4 linked regions of the Canis lupus familiaris genome follow. The protein of the gene in region 1 interacts with the protein of each later gene in a pairwise test. Links are inferred from orthologs where the notes say so. Each region holds a gene or a part of one and is shown in the gene's direction. Other genes may lie near its edges.

Evidence for each region.
Region 2: the proteins of CERT1 (region 1) and RTN4 interact in binary tests that used the Homo sapiens proteins (3 or more experiments, as listed by UniProt). The link is inferred for Canis lupus familiaris from reciprocal best matches to the Homo sapiens genes CERT1 and RTN4.
Region 3: the proteins of CERT1 (region 1) and CSNK1G2 interact in binary tests that used the Homo sapiens proteins (3 or more experiments, as listed by UniProt). The two-hybrid records come from large-scale screens. The link is inferred for Canis lupus familiaris from reciprocal best matches to the Homo sapiens genes CERT1 and CSNK1G2.
Region 4: the proteins of CERT1 (region 1) and ACTL8 interact in binary tests that used the Homo sapiens proteins (3 or more experiments, as listed by UniProt). The two-hybrid records come from large-scale screens. The link is inferred for Canis lupus familiaris from reciprocal best matches to the Homo sapiens genes CERT1 and ACTL8.

The regions. Positions count from the first base shown.
Region 1 is NC_049224.1:31,067,477-31,071,496, forward strand, and holds the start of CERT1 (ceramide transfer protein), read left to right. Parts: upstream 1-1,190; 5' UTR 1,191-1,308; coding exon 1,309-1,404; exon of another isoform or gene 1,405-1,468; intron 1,469-4,020. UniProt on the Homo sapiens protein: Shelters ceramides and diacylglycerol lipids inside its START domain and mediates the intracellular trafficking of ceramides and diacylglycerol lipids in a non-vesicular manner.
Region 2 is NC_049231.1:57,169,143-57,172,708, reverse strand, and holds part of RTN4 (reticulon-4), read left to right. Parts: intron 1-3,302; coding exon 3,303-3,441; intron 3,442-3,566. UniProt on the Homo sapiens protein: Required to induce the formation and stabilization of endoplasmic reticulum (ER) tubules. They regulate membrane morphogenesis in the ER by promoting tubular ER production.
Region 3 is NC_049241.1:57,484,654-57,487,266, reverse strand, and holds the end of CSNK1G2 (casein kinase I), read left to right. Parts: coding exon 1-103; intron 104-167; coding exon 168-253; intron 254-322; coding exon 323-407; intron 408-512; coding exon 513-661; intron 662-780; coding exon 781-864; intron 865-950; coding exon 951-1,057; intron 1,058-1,150; coding exon 1,151-1,205; 3' UTR 1,206-2,111; downstream 2,112-2,613. UniProt on the Homo sapiens protein: Serine/threonine-protein kinase. Casein kinases are operationally defined by their preferential utilization of acidic proteins such as caseins as substrates. It can phosphorylate a large number of proteins. Participates in Wnt signaling.
Region 4 is NC_049223.1:80,106,313-80,110,626, reverse strand, and holds the start of ACTL8 (actin-like protein 8), read left to right. Parts: upstream 1-1,482; 5' UTR 1,483-1,658; intron 1,659-4,314.

The DNA.
Region 1 (4,020 bases):
TGGGCCTTGCACCCATCGCCTCATCTCTTCTCGGGTCGCTCGGCACCTCAGGCTCGCCCCGCGGCCCGGCCGCCCTCAGAGCGACGACGTCCGGTGGAGTTGGCGACCGGGCTTCGGGGGCGTTTTGGCCCACAACGTGAAGCAAACCCCAGACTACCATTTCACATTCTCACTTTACTTTAAAAACTCTTCAAACGTCGTTTATTCTCTGATATCTTCAAAATTACTCTCCACAAAATGAACGCTCGGAATCTAACAAATGCAAAGCGCTTGCCCCGGTGAAGCGCGGCACGCACCGAGTGTGAGGCGCGAGATAGGAGACCTTCGGCGGGGGGCGGCCGGGTCACCAGCGAGGTCGCAGATCCGCCCGGCGCGGCGGAGCCCGCCCGCACCCCCGGAAGCCGCGCGGCGTTCCCGGGCCTTAGCAGGCGGCCGCGGAGGGCGAGCCCGGGTCCCCCCCCAGCCGGCGCAGCTTCGTCATAAACACGCCAGGAAGAGACAAGAAGCGCGGCCGCGGGGAAGGATCACACAACCGGTAGACGAAGCCCACCCGCCACTGGACCGGTCCCCCAGGCGACAGCCTTCGGGGCGCCAACACTCACCGGTGGCCTCAGGATCGCGACTACAACTCCCAGAAGGCCGCGCGCCCGACGCAGCAGCGCCCTTCCCAGAATGCAGCGGGGCGGGGGCCCCGTCCCTCCTCCCTTGTCCGCTCCGCCCGCCGCTCCGCCCGCCTCTCCGCCCTGCGTACCCGGGGGGGACCCGAGGTAGGGTGCGGGAGGGGACCGCCGGCCCTCGGCGTGCTCCGTCAGACGTCGGAGGGGGCGGGGGAGGGGGACGGGGACGGGGCGGGGGAGCAGGGGAGGACGGAGGGGAGGGGACAGGGGAGGGGTGGGTAAATAGTGGGCCAGGCAGGAAGATGGCGGCCGCAGCGGAGGTGTGAGTGGAGCGGGGCTCTGGCTGGGCTTTCTCTTCCCGTCTTTCCTGTTCCTTTTCTGTTGGAGGCCGGCACCGAAGGGGCTGCGTTCGGGTGGTGGCGCCGGGCGCAGCGCAGGGGCCACGGCGGCGGCCGACGGCTGGAAGGGCAGGCTTCCCTCGCCGCTCGTCCTCCTTCCCCGGTCCGCTCGGTGTCAGGCGCGGCGGCGGCGGCGCGGCGGCCGGACTTCGTGCCCCCTGCGGCCCCCCCCCGCGCCGGAGCGGGCACTCCTCCCTTCCCCGCCCCCCGGGCCCTCACCCCGGCTCCTGGGCGCTTCCTCCGGCGCGGCTCGGGGAGCGGGGGCTGGTCTCCCGCTCGGCTGTCGCGCCTCCATGTCGGATAACCAGAGCTGGAACTCGTCGGGCTCGGAGGAGGATCCGGAGACGGAGTCCGGGCCGCCCGTGGAGCGCTGCGGAGTCCTCAGCAAGGTGAGCCGCCCGTGAGGACCGGGGGCCAGCGGCTCAGCCCTCACCTGCCGCGAGGCGAGGCGAGGCGAGGCGAGGCGCGGCGCCGCGCCGAGGGCGTGGGGTGGGGTGGGGCCGGGCTGCCCCGGGGTGCGGGGGTGCGGGTGCGCGGAGGAGGGGCTCGGTGGCGGCGGCGAGCGCTAGGGAGGCTTCGGCTCAGGAGCTGGACTCGGCACGTCCGTCGGGCGCGGGAACCGGGCTGGGCGGCAGAGCTGTGGGAGCTTGCCCGCCGGCGGTGGGGAGGGGTCTCAGGGACACTTCGGTGCTGCTCTCCGCAGTCTTTCCCCCAGTTCAAAAGAGAGCTGTTGGCTTGTCACGTGACGGGTGCAAGAAACACACGGTAACAGGAACAGATCGGAGCAGAGGCTGACCTTTAGTCCAGGAAGAAGAGCGCTGTTAATAATAAAATATTCTTGCTGTCATAGGGCCAGAGTGAGGAAAACCCTTCTTACCTTTCCTGAAGGTTTAAAGAAAACACCCTTTTTCAAAATTTTAGCAAAGCACATAGTTGTAGGACTGGCTGTGAAGGCTAATTAGTTAAAATGGATGAGGCCCTTTTTTAAGAGAAGATGGGTGATTTATTTCTTTTGATAGTACATGGTTTGGGGCTTGTTTGTTCGTTTAGAGTTTTAGCTAAGAGAGGATTCCACATTCTCCTTTTTTACTTCCTTGTTCCTTTCTGTTAAAATTTTAGAAATGGCCAGTCCTTCAGCAAGCTGGTCATAAGATTCGAGATCATGTGCAGCCACTGGCTATTAAGAAACCACCCTGCTTCCAGTACATGTACTTTGGCTAAGCATTTGGATCTTTATTGTGGAGTTGTTTCATATTAGGTTTTCCTGTTATCTATTCAAGGCTGGTGAGAAAGGCGTTAGGTAAAACATAAGTGCCACAACCAAGACCTGCGAGTGTTAACGTTTATTTACACAGAAGAATCATGATGTGTGTTGATACTGGGATCATTGGAATTTCAGTGAAAGGCTTTCCGTAAAGCGAAGGTCGAAGCTCCCTCGGGTTCCTTTAGATTAAATGTGTCTTGTAGTTTTGGAGTCTGTGTTGAACACTTTGTGTCGTAGGTATACGTTTTCAGGTGGAATTTCAAGTGTGTTCTTCTTAATTCTGATAGACTGATCACTTTTCTCATTAAATGAGAAGTAAACATACAAATTAGTATTCTGGTGGTGCTGAGTATTTTACAAAATAGGCTGACCTTTTGACCTACTTGATATTACTATTTTGGAGGGTTGAGGAGTGACTAGTGGAAAGAGTCCTCAGTGCCCTGAGTATTCATGGTTTGCAGAGCAGTATAGTAGAGACAATGTTCTATGACAAAGTATGGAAAATCATCTCCTTGATATTTAAATGTCAAGAAATGTACTTTTTGATCGATTCTATGATGGTTGAATAACTTTTATGTTGCTGCATACATAGAATTAACAGGAATAGTTTTTGGTATTTTGTTAACAGCAATGAAGGAAATTCCCCTGAAATATAACAGTGCATTGTTATACATAATGATTTCTGGAAGCTTTTTAATCAAGAATATTTTATATTGAATCCATGTTTTAAAATTTAAAGTACATATATATTTTGATCTGTTTGTATTCACCTGGTAATTTATACAAGAGTTAAAACTCAGCCTCTGTTCTTTTTCTTCAATTGAGTAATGTAGATAAGTCTCAGTACTAATGTGTTTTGTTTCTGCCCGTCCAAAACGGACTGAATTTGGAATGGGGGGAGGTGATAAACTTACTAGAAATATACCGGTCCAAAAAAAGGAAAGTTGTTTTTTCCTATATGGTAATTTAAAATACATGGAAATACCTATGAAGCATATTTTCTGTGGAATCACTTCTTAAGCATGGAAGTTCCACAAATTCTGGATAGACAATAATTCTAGGTGATTGATAACAAATATCAGGATGGATATTGATGGGAAGAGAGTCATGCCTTGGTGGGACTTGAGAACAACTAAATCTGGATAAAATAAATCTCAACAAGTTTCTTGTGGATTCTCTCCATCCTTCAAGGTTTACCTTATCTTGTATTTCTCTGCACACCTGTTAGCTGAAATTCTGTCTTTAGAGTTCTTTTTTTTTTTTTTTAAGGTATTATATATTTATTTGAGAGAGCGAGAGAGACCGCATGAGCAGGGGGAGTGGCAGAGGGAGAGGGAGAAGCAAACTCCCCACTGAGCAGGGAGCCTGACATGATGTTCCATCCCAGGATCCTGGAATCATGACCTGAGCCTAAGGCAGCTGCTTAACAAACTGAGCCACCCAGGTGCCCCCATCTTTAAAGCTTGTTTAAAACACTATTCTTACTGTGAAGCCTTTTCTTATTTTGCCAATCATTCCATAGTGCCTTCCTTTAAGTTCCCATAGTATTTTATTCGTAACTTGTTCTGAATCTTACTCTAAATGTATTGTTTTCCTTTTGAAATTATGCTTGCTGGACTATTGGGAACAGAAATCTTTGATTCTGCTTCTGTGTTTAGCATATTGCTTTATCTCTGTTAGATAGAGGGAATAGAGGGAATGTTATGAGAAAGGCAAAAATCTGCCTTCTAGGAGAAGCTAA
Region 2 (3,566 bases), on another chromosome or scaffold:
GCTATAATAGCAGCAATTGTGCCAGAAACCATGTGGACTTCAAAGCCTAAGTGCTCTTTCCTAGGCCTTTACAGAAGAAGTTTGTCTACTCTGGGTGGGCTTCACTTGTTACCAAATTGGGTTCTGGTTACCTAGGTTTCAGCTTTTATAGCTGTTGTCAGATTTTCTTCGGATACTTTTATATTTTTAGGCAAACGGGCTTTCTGTTCACTACAGGATCAAGTCCAAATATCTTTATCTTGTCTCTCATTTGCCTCTTCTAGGATGTTATGCCCATTCATGCTGCCTTTTTAGCTTCTCAGATGACCTAAACTATTATACATTTTTTTTTTTTTTAAGATTTATTTATTCATTCAGAGAGAGCGAGAGAGAGGCAGAGACACAGGTAGAGGGAGAAGCAGGCTCCATGCAGGAAGCCCAATGTGGGACTCGATCCCGGGTCTCCAGGATCACTCCCCGGGCTGCAGGCGGCGCTAAACTGCTGCGCCACCAGGGCTGCCCAAACTATTTTACTTTTTATTGGGTTCTGTGTTTGATTTCAAGATGTAACTTTTTGAAGGCTTCCCTAATACTGGCTCCAATGAGCTGAGAATTCGTTTCCTATTGGCTTTGAAATGATCTCTAATTGTTTTGTATTTAGACATCATTTTTTTTCTCAAATAGATTTTGAATATTTTAAAACTATTTTGGTAAGGCAGGTATCTGTGGGCATGAATGAGTATATAACTACCTAGAACATATATAGTTGATATTAAGGGGTAAATGTAAACCAATTTTCAAACTTTGCAATCTATATTATTTTGCTTATTGTAAAGATTGGTTATTTAGCTCTCTTCATATTGATGAAGTAACGATGCTATAAAAGTTTGGGAGAGAAAAAAAAGTTTGGGAGAGAGACCAACATTTATGAGTGGCTCATATGTCCCTGGCCTTTTATGCACAGACTTAATTTTCATAACAACTTAATGAGACAGATGGTATTCTTCTTTTCCACAGAGAGGGAAACATTTGAAGTTCAGTAACTTGAAATTGCAGCTTCAAAATGGTAGCCATATCATGCCAAAAATCATACAGGAATATGATTTTTAATTAGATATATTGAAATAATATAAAAATATTGTCAAGCCAAAACTTCTAAATTATCTGCAATATCAATCTGAGACATCGTTTGATTTTAAAGAAGACTTTTGGGAAAAATCTGGTGGCTGTCTTATTCCCTATTTTTTTAGAAACACTTTATTCTTCAGAGGATTTTTTTAGAGTCATTATAAATTCAGCCAACATGCCAGACTAATCCTGTTGGACAGTTTTTCCAAGTTCTCCCAGTCACATTTCTAAAGGTGGTACCATCCTGTCTATATCTAATACCTTTGGTCTCTGGAAAAGAGTGATGTCAGTGCTGGCATTGCATTAATATTACATACATGCTAGTTGAATGAATGTAAATATCCATGGGATTTCACTGATGGAGAGTGCCACTCTGTGCCTGCTGGCCAGGCATCTTGTCTTCTGCAAGAACAAAAACTGTGGTACAAAGAAGCAGAATACGAACTCAAAGTTATATCAGCTTCTGTTCTGTGTCTCTCAAAGCTGCACAAATAAATTATTGCTGATTTAAGGGTAGATATGAATATTCGATCATTTTTAACTTGATAATAACAACTGGATACCTGCTGGTAATCAATAAGTTGTCTGAGTGCTATGCCATCATTGTAAATATATTTTCTTGGTCTTAAACAGTTTATACTTTAGTAGGAAAAATATACAAGTGTACACATGTCTGTATGTCAGGGCTGGATATGGCTAATGCTATAATAATACCACAAAAGAAAGCATTGTTAGAATTGCATAATAAGATCTTAGGGAAAGAGCCAAAGAGGCCTCATAGATGGGTGGGATTTGAGATGGACTAACTGACTGGATATGCTATTACTAGAGGTAAGAGGAGAGCATTGTGGATTAGGAAAACAGTATGATGAACAAAGGTAGTAGGATTAAAAAATAATTAATGGCTCATATTTGGCTGCAACATAGTGAGTAGTAAAAAATTAGGTTGAAAAGATTGAAGAGGGTTCTGGTTGAAAAGTTGGAATCATAGAATCACAGAAGGTTTGAGCCTGGATATTTAAGAAGGTCTGTTTCTCTAATTTTATAGAGTGGGAACCATGACCCTGAGAAGTCAAATGACTTTGCAAGGTTACATGGCTAGATAGTAGCAGGTCTTCTAACTCCTACCTGAGTTCAGTCTAAGTAGCACTACCTAAGAGAGCTAAAATAAAACTCACCTGGCATTGACTAAAGGAATGGATTAGTATGTAAACAGATGAGTGATTCATTTGGATACAGAATATTCCAGTTTTTAAATAATGAACACTTAAACTAGAGAGATAACATAGTGAGTAAAAATGAAGAGACATATTTGGGACATATTATAGGAGTAAACCATGGGACAGGGAATTATCAGATGACTGTTCTTTCCAGGATGAGTAACTAGTGTCCACCAGCATCGGGGAGTGATGAAGAGAGACTGGGTTATAAGGAGCTGCTTCCAACGATAGAAGACAATGCTTAGCATTTCTGAATTGGTACTACTCTACCAAGATAAAATGACTTCTTTGAAATAATAACTAATAAAACAGTTCCTTGCATTCCTGCCGAAGATTCTTCTTCTTCATTACAGTTTGTCTTCCTAAATAGAACGATTCCAGGTATCTTAGTATAGAATGGGGTATCTACGTGGACAGTAACTATTATGTTTTACTAGCATTAACACCATACTTGTGGTAGCCATTTCACAATCTGGACCTTGACCTATTGGGCAGTTTCCTCTAAAAGTTATGCTGAGAGACTGTAGTATTTGGGAATGAATAGGATCTTTGTTAGGAAAACCCAAGGAGACCGCATAATGTCGGCTTAAAGAGAAAAAACCCAAATCCCTCATAACAGCTACCATTTATTGAATGCTTCTTTATGCCTGCTTGCATTAAGCACTGTACTCACTGAATCCTCATGATAATTAATAACTGCAAAGTTACATAGACAAGTAAGTGGCAGAGTATAAGAATCAAGTCCAGAGCAGTCTGACTTGAAAGGAAATGATCTTTTTCTGTGCTCATCAGCTGCCCGTGTGCATGTCCATGAAATATGCATCGATTGGTGAATTTTCACATTGTGCTTAATTTGGAATCCAGGTTTTATGGTAAAATATTTTAACTAATGTCTTCTTTTACAATTACATTACTGCTGGACATCCAGGACAAATACTCTGATCAGTGACAGTTAGGACGTGTTTTGTTTTTCAGGGCATATTTGGAATCTGAAGTCGCTATATCTGAGGAGTTGGTTCAGAAATACAGTAATTCTGCTCTTGGTCATGTGAACTGCACGATAAAGGAATTGAGACGCCTCTTTTTAGTTGATGATTTAGTTGATTCTCTGAAGGTAAGTTTATTTGCCTTCCGTTTCTGACATACCCAGAATTTAATATCAAAAGAGTAGAGTATAAAATTCTGCTTTTCTTTTAAAGTAAATGACAGAGATGTAGTGAAATCATGTTACTATAAATC
Region 3 (2,613 bases), on another chromosome or scaffold:
GAGTACATCGACCCCGAGACCAAGAAGCACATCCCGTACCGGGAGCACAAGAGCCTGACGGGCACGGCGCGCTACATGAGCATCAACACGCACCTGGGCAAGGGTGAGCCGCGCGCGGGCCGGGCGGGGGGGCGCGGGGGCCGCGCTGACCTGCTCTCCCCCCGCAGAGCAGAGCCGCCGCGACGACCTGGAGGCGCTGGGCCACATGTTCATGTACTTCCTGCGTGGCAGCCTGCCCTGGCAGGGGCTCAAGGTGGGCGCAGGGCCGGGGGGGCGGGGGGAGAGCCCTCGGGTCGCGGTCTGCTGACCACCCTCCCCACAGGCCGACACGCTCAAGGAGCGCTACCAGAAGATCGGGGACACCAAGCGGGCCACGCCCATTGAGGTGCTCTGCGAGAGCTTCCCAGGTGAGGCGTGAGGGGCGCCCCCTGCCCCCGCGGCCCCCCCGCCCCGCCCGGCCCCCACCACCCCCGGGCCCCACTGACCCCTGCACGCCCGCCTGCTCCCCACAGAGGAGATGGCTACGTACCTACGCTACGTGCGGCGCCTGGACTTCTTCGAGAAGCCGGACTACGACTACCTGCGCAAGCTCTTTACCGACCTCTTTGACCGCAGCGGCTTCGTGTTCGACTATGAGTACGACTGGGCGGGAAAGCCCCTGGTACGTGGGGGTCCCCGTGCCCCCAGAGCCCTGCTTCCTGAAGGGGTGGGGCCCCAGGATGCGGGGGGTGGGAGTAGGCTGCCCGGCCTCAGCGCTGCGTCCTGCCCCCCCTCCCGCAGCCGACACCCATCGGCACGGTCCACACCGACCTGCCCTCGCAGCCTCAGCCTCGGGACAAAGCCCAGCTACACAGCAAAAACCAGGTGAGGGGCCGGTCCAAGGACCCCGACAGTGTGGGGGGTGGGGCAGGGCCCCTCTGACTCCCCTGCTGCCCTCCCCACAAACCCAGGCGCTGAACTCCACCAACGGGGAGCTGAATGCGGACGACCCCACTGCCGGCCACTCCAACGCCCCCATCACAGCGCCCGCAGAGGTGGAGGTGGCCGATGACACCAAGTAAGGGCCCGGGCGGCTGCTGGGCGCGGGGACCCTTCGGGCCCCCTCTGCACCCAGCGCTCTCATGTCTGTCCCCTCACTCCCCCCGTGCAGATGCTGCTGTTTCTTCAAGAGGAGGAAGAGAAAAGCAGTGCAGCGCCACAAGTGACCCTGGGGCGGTGGCGCCCTGAACCCTTCTGCCGCAGCCCCCGGGGCGAGCCTGGCCCCTGCCGCGTGGCCTACAGCCAGGACGCAGACTGCAGGGCCGGCCTCAGCCGCCCGCCCCCCACTTGGGGTCACGTCCTTCACATGAGACTTTGGCCGAAATTTCTACACCTGTGTCTAGTCCTCCCCTCCAAGAGCATTAACTATTTGAAACAAGGAGAAGAGAAACACAGTGGCCACCCTGCCCTGCGCCCCTCCCGCCCGCCTGCTGAAGTGAGTAGTGGGCTGCCCGTGCCGGCCAGCCCGTCCCGTTAGTCTCATAAAGTCCAGCTTGTCTCCCTCGATCCAAAGGCCGTTTTCTCGAGGGGACGCTATGGGCGTTGCTGCCGGGGGCGAGCCTGCCCTGGGCCTCCCCGCACCACAGGGGAAGGCGGGGGTGGGGGCGGCCCCCCAACCAAAATGCTGCACCAAAGCCTGGGCCAGCGGGCATAGCCCGCAGGGTTTCCTGCCACACCTGCTCGTGGAGCCGTGTCCAGGGCCCGGGGCCCCGGGGGCGGCCACCTCTTGGCCACTCGAGCCATGGTCTGTGCCCGGGTGTTCGTGGGCTTGTCGTGTCCGTGCTCCACGCTGCCGGCTGAGCAGCAGGAGACAAGCGCCTTAAAGCCCTGTCCCAGCCCCGCAGGTGTGTCCGGGGCTGGGCAGCCCTGGTGGGAGTGCGGTCCTCTCGGGCCCTCCGGAGGGCCTGTGCTGCCACTCGGGGTGGAGCAGCTGGGGACGGCCTGGCAGCGGTGTGTGTGTCTAGGTCTTGCTTTACACGGTGTACAGAAATGGCACTTCGGTTTCTCTGACGCTTCCTGGAAGCCATAGAGTTTAGGGGCTTTTTTAAAAAAAATAAAGGAAAATGAAAGCACTCCTGAGTGTGGTGTCCGGTATTTCCGAGAGGCTTGGCTGAAGCAGCAGCAGCGCAGATGCTTATGTCCCTGGGAGGGGCAGGCTCGGGGGGTGACGCTCAGGAGAAGTGGTCAGAACAAGAGAAGCGAGGACTCTGGTGTCGGAGCTGGGTTTGGTTGTGTTTGGGGGCTGGGGCACGGCTGTTGACCTAGTCCAGGTGAGAGAGGACAGACAGGTAAGAGACAGGTCCCCTTGGGCCTGGCTGTACACAAGCACATTTGAAACTGTAACGAAATGGTTTGTTCTTCCAGGAGAAACGGGGGGCAGCTGCAGCTGGATGCTTGGGTCTCCAGTGCACCTGACAGTGGGGAGCCCCGGCACAGCCTCACGAGTTGCCTTGAATGCAGCACAGAGGAAAAGTGATCTCCTTGGTAGCTGCCTCGGACTGCATGTGTTCCCCCAACGCTCCCACGTTGACCCTAACCCCAGTGGGATTAGTGTGAGGGACAGTGTGAGGGACA
Region 4 (4,314 bases), on another chromosome or scaffold:
CCCTCCGGGATGGACATGGGGCGACACTTTCTCTGTGGGTAAACTCACTGTGTCTCCCGGCAACAAGGGGCAACCATGGTTCTCCCTGTTTTAGAGATGAGTGGAGCAAGGCTCAGGGTGATGCGCTGTCTCGCTGGAGACCCACGGTCCTCAAGTGGCCGAGTCGGGATTTGGACCGAGCACCGTCCGACTCCAGAGACAAAGTGGTTAAGAGTGGTCTTTCTCTTCCTCTCAAAATACCCAGTTGTGCTGAACTCACCCTTCTTCTTCTTCTGTTTTTTTTTTTTAAGGATTTTATTTATTTATTCATGAGAGACACACAGAGAGGCAGAGACACCGGCAGAGGGAGAAGCAGGCTCCCTGTGGGGAGCCTGAAGCGAGACTCGATCCTGTGACCCCGGGGTTGCATCCTGAGCCGAAGGCAGATGCTCCACCACTGAGCCAGCCAGGTGCTCCATGAACTCACCCTTCCTCTTTGGTGATGTGAGCTGAGAAAATGCCTGAGAGGAGGCGAGGGGCAGGACAGCGATACCGCGGTGTAGTGCTAGGCTCCTAGTGACCCGACAGTATGTCAGAAGGAAGGTCACCTGCTTCCAGACCGGACCTGACCATGGGGAACTGGAACCACCCAAAGTGAGAGTACAAATGGTGGGCGGAGGGACCACTGAGCTTAGTGAATTGGGGGTACCGTCAAGTTGTTTGACACGAGGAAAGCAGAGTGCGTGATTCGCTCCTGTATTTATTTACTCAAGCGTACTTGTGTATCTACTATGCGGAGATTGTACACAGTGATGACCTGAAACCGAAACTTTGGGGGCTAATTTTTAAGAATTGAGTTCTAATTGATCTGCCATGAGATGCACAGAGCTTAAATATTTTTAAAAAATTATTTATTTATTTGTTCATGAGAGACACAGAGAGAGGCAGAGACACAGGCAGAGGGAGAAGCAGGCTCCCTGTGGGGGGGCCTGATGCAGGACTCGATCCCAGGACCCTGGGATCATGCCCTGAGCCGAAGGCAGACGCTCAACCACTGAGTCCCCCGGGCATCCCCAAACCTTAAATATTAAGACAAATGTCTACACCTGTGTTACCACTGGCCCACTCACGATGGAAGATATGTCCCTCACCCCAGAAAGTGCCCCTTTCCACGGAAACACCTCCCTCACCACTTTGTTTTAAAATTTCTGTCATTAAAAACCAGCTGGCCTGTTCTGAACTTCACATAAGCGGGAATTTACAGAATGTGCTGGTTTTGAGTCCGGCTTCTTTCATTCGACCTAATCATCTAGAAGATGAGTCCACGTATCAGTGGTTCCTTCTTTTTCATTGCTGAGCAGTATTTCTTTGGATGCTGCTTCTCCTCGATCACCATCAGGCTCCAGACCACCCTTCCTGCCCGCTGCATGGAAATGGATCTGGGCCCTTTAAGCTTCCTCCCCCCGCCAGCCTGCTGGGCTGGGTCAGTAGAGGGCGCCCCGGAGCCCATGCGGCAGCTCAGGGCCCTGCTTCCTGGCTGGGCTGCTCCCAGGCTCCTGCAGCTCCCCGGGGCCCGCAGCTCCCCTGGCACCGCTCTGGAGGCGGTTCTGTCGTGAGGTGTCTCACCAGAGGCGGCTTTTGTGGTATCGCCTTCCCCCCGGTGCACGGGCAGATCTCTGGTAAGTGCCTCAGGGTGGGTTTCTAGCAAGTTCCGCAGGTGTGGCACGAGGCCAAATGCTTGCCATGTGGTGGGCCGCAGCCAGGTCTTGTTCAGCAACGTCTGGATGGCCGTCCTGGAGGGAGTGTGTGTACTTTGGGGGACCCTTCCTCAGCTCACGGGCTTTTCCTTGCGAAGTTTTCTTCAGCCTGAGGAGGGGACTCTAGTGGGGGCCTGTGTCAGCCCCGGTGGGAGTTTCTCCTTGAGGGGGAGGTAGCTCAGTCTCATGGTGGGGGGGGGGTCTCTTTTTGTGTGTGGAGGTCTCTATCGGCCCTAGGGCTCTCTTCTTTGAGGCTCTATATCAGTCCTGGGTGAGGGGGGCTCTTCCTCAGCTCTGGGGGGGGGAGCTCCTCTTTGACGGGGGTCTATCTCACCCCCCATAAAACCTCTTTTTGGGTGGTTTTATGCTCAATTTCAGCCCAGGGTAGGGGAATCCTTCTTGAGGACTCTATCTCAGCCTGATGTGGGGGAGGGTCTCTTCCTGAGAGACTCTTCTTTGCGGGGGGGTCTCTCTTGGCCCCTGAATAGGGGGGATTTTTCTTGGGGTCTTTACCTCAGCCCTAGGGGACTCTTTCTTGATATTTCACCTCTGTTGGGGCGGGGGGACCCTCACTCATCTTTGAGGGTCTTACCAAAGCCCCCAGGAGCTGTTCCTGGAGTGAAGGGTGGCATTCTTAGGGGCTCTACCCCAGCCCTGGGTGGGGTCTCTTCCTCAGGGGGCTCTACCTCAGCTCTGTGGGTTGTAGCCGCTCCCTTAGCTGCTATTCTTACATTAATTACAGTTCTCTTTATTCTTTATTAGCCAAGGCCACATTCATTTAATCCCCTGTTAGAAGCTAATTTTTCATGTGGAACTTTCCCTGTTGGAATTACTGTGTGGTTCCTTTTTCTTGATTAGACCCAAACTAGTGTAGAATTGGTGTCAGCAGTGGTACCAGGAGATTGGTCTGCAGAGATGAGATTTGTGGACTGGTTTTCCGTGGGCTGGAACACGGTGCTGAGTGACTTGCCGATGGGAGGCAGGGTGCGCGTCCCCCAAGGTATGCAGTGGCCCTGTAATTAACCAGGCTATCACCCCCAGGTGATTGAGCTGGAGTGCCATCAAGGCACGTCCCTTGGGAGCCAGAGTGATGCTTCCCTTGGCTGCTAATGGCAGTGGTGATGACCATAAGGACTGCAGGGGTGAGATGGATCCTTTTGAGGGCTCTAGAGCTTGCAGAGAGGAGATGACAAGTGCAGGTCCGTTGGCTCAGCTCATAGTCACAGTCCCAGGACTAGAGAGCTGTCATGACAGCCTTTACAGGTCTTATTATTATTATTATTTTTACAGCTGCAGGGCTGGTATTTTCTGGAAATCAAACATAAAATTTAATTGTGTTGGTTGCTGAATTACAACCACAATGGAATTCACATCTTGACAGAACTCTCGTGTGAAAATTAGGGCATTGGTTGGGAAAGAAAGGGACCCTGAAACACAGAACGGGGACATCTGTTGGCCCCCGGTGAAACTGACCATCATAAACCCCACGTGGCTCCAAGCCAACCTCCCCCCCCCTTATTGGAGGTGGTGGCCTTTCCACCCATGTCTGAGGAAGCTGTTTCCCCTCTGTGTAAAAACCCTGTGATGACCTCAGCGGGGGCAGGTATCTTGAGAGGGGTTGCTCATTCTCCTCGAGACTTAACCAAAACTGCCTCTATTGTCACTAACCTCTGACAAGGGCCAAATCTCCGCATGGTGGCAGTGACACACTAGGACACGAGAGGAAGAATCCAAAGCACTGCAGGGCTTCGCTAATACAGGTCAACAGAATTCTGGGGGCCCCGTGTAGGAGTGGATTTTAAGGATTTTAGACCAAAGAGGGCAGGATAATAACACTGTGTTGGGTAGAATTAATTGTCACGGATGCACTTCCTGGAGATTTTGGATTTGGTTATTAGCATGTGCCGCTGGCGATGGCTCTAACAGCTTACTTGGTTGATTAACTGACATTTGGACCCAATAGTGGCCTAAGGTTAATGAAGCCATGACGTCATGATGGGGAAGAGGGAGTCCAAAGGTGTGGGGAGACAGGATTGCTGGGCTGGACGTATTATGTGCGATCTGCACCCCCCCACCCCCCTGCCCACTATGTTCCATAAAAAGCAGCAGAAGACGGCAGCATGGAGATGAGTGAGGGGAGCATCCATGAAACGCTCCATGGCATCTCTCTTTTGCAGGCGGGACATGACTTGAGAGGCTGCCTCCACTGAGATGGGCTCCCTGATTGCAGTGGGCATAAGGGCAGGCCGGAGTTGCAGAGACCAAGGGGCAGCACGTCACTGCCAAGGGCAAGGTGGGCACGTCTCCTGCAAGGCAGCAAGGATGGATGGGCAATCAGAACGCCTGGGCCCATAGGGATTTTGATAGTGGCTAGTAAGTCACAGTGTCCCGGGAATGAAATGAATTACAGCCCACTGCAGTGCTGCTTGATGTATATGACATAAAAAGGTCTGGGTCTGGTAGCCAACGCCTGACGTGCATCGCCAAGACAGCCTCTGCCTCTCCTGCAGTTTCCACGTCTAAGGCAGCTCACGACCTTAGGAGGCCCTTGGGAGGCCAGGTCCCCTTGAGGAAGAAG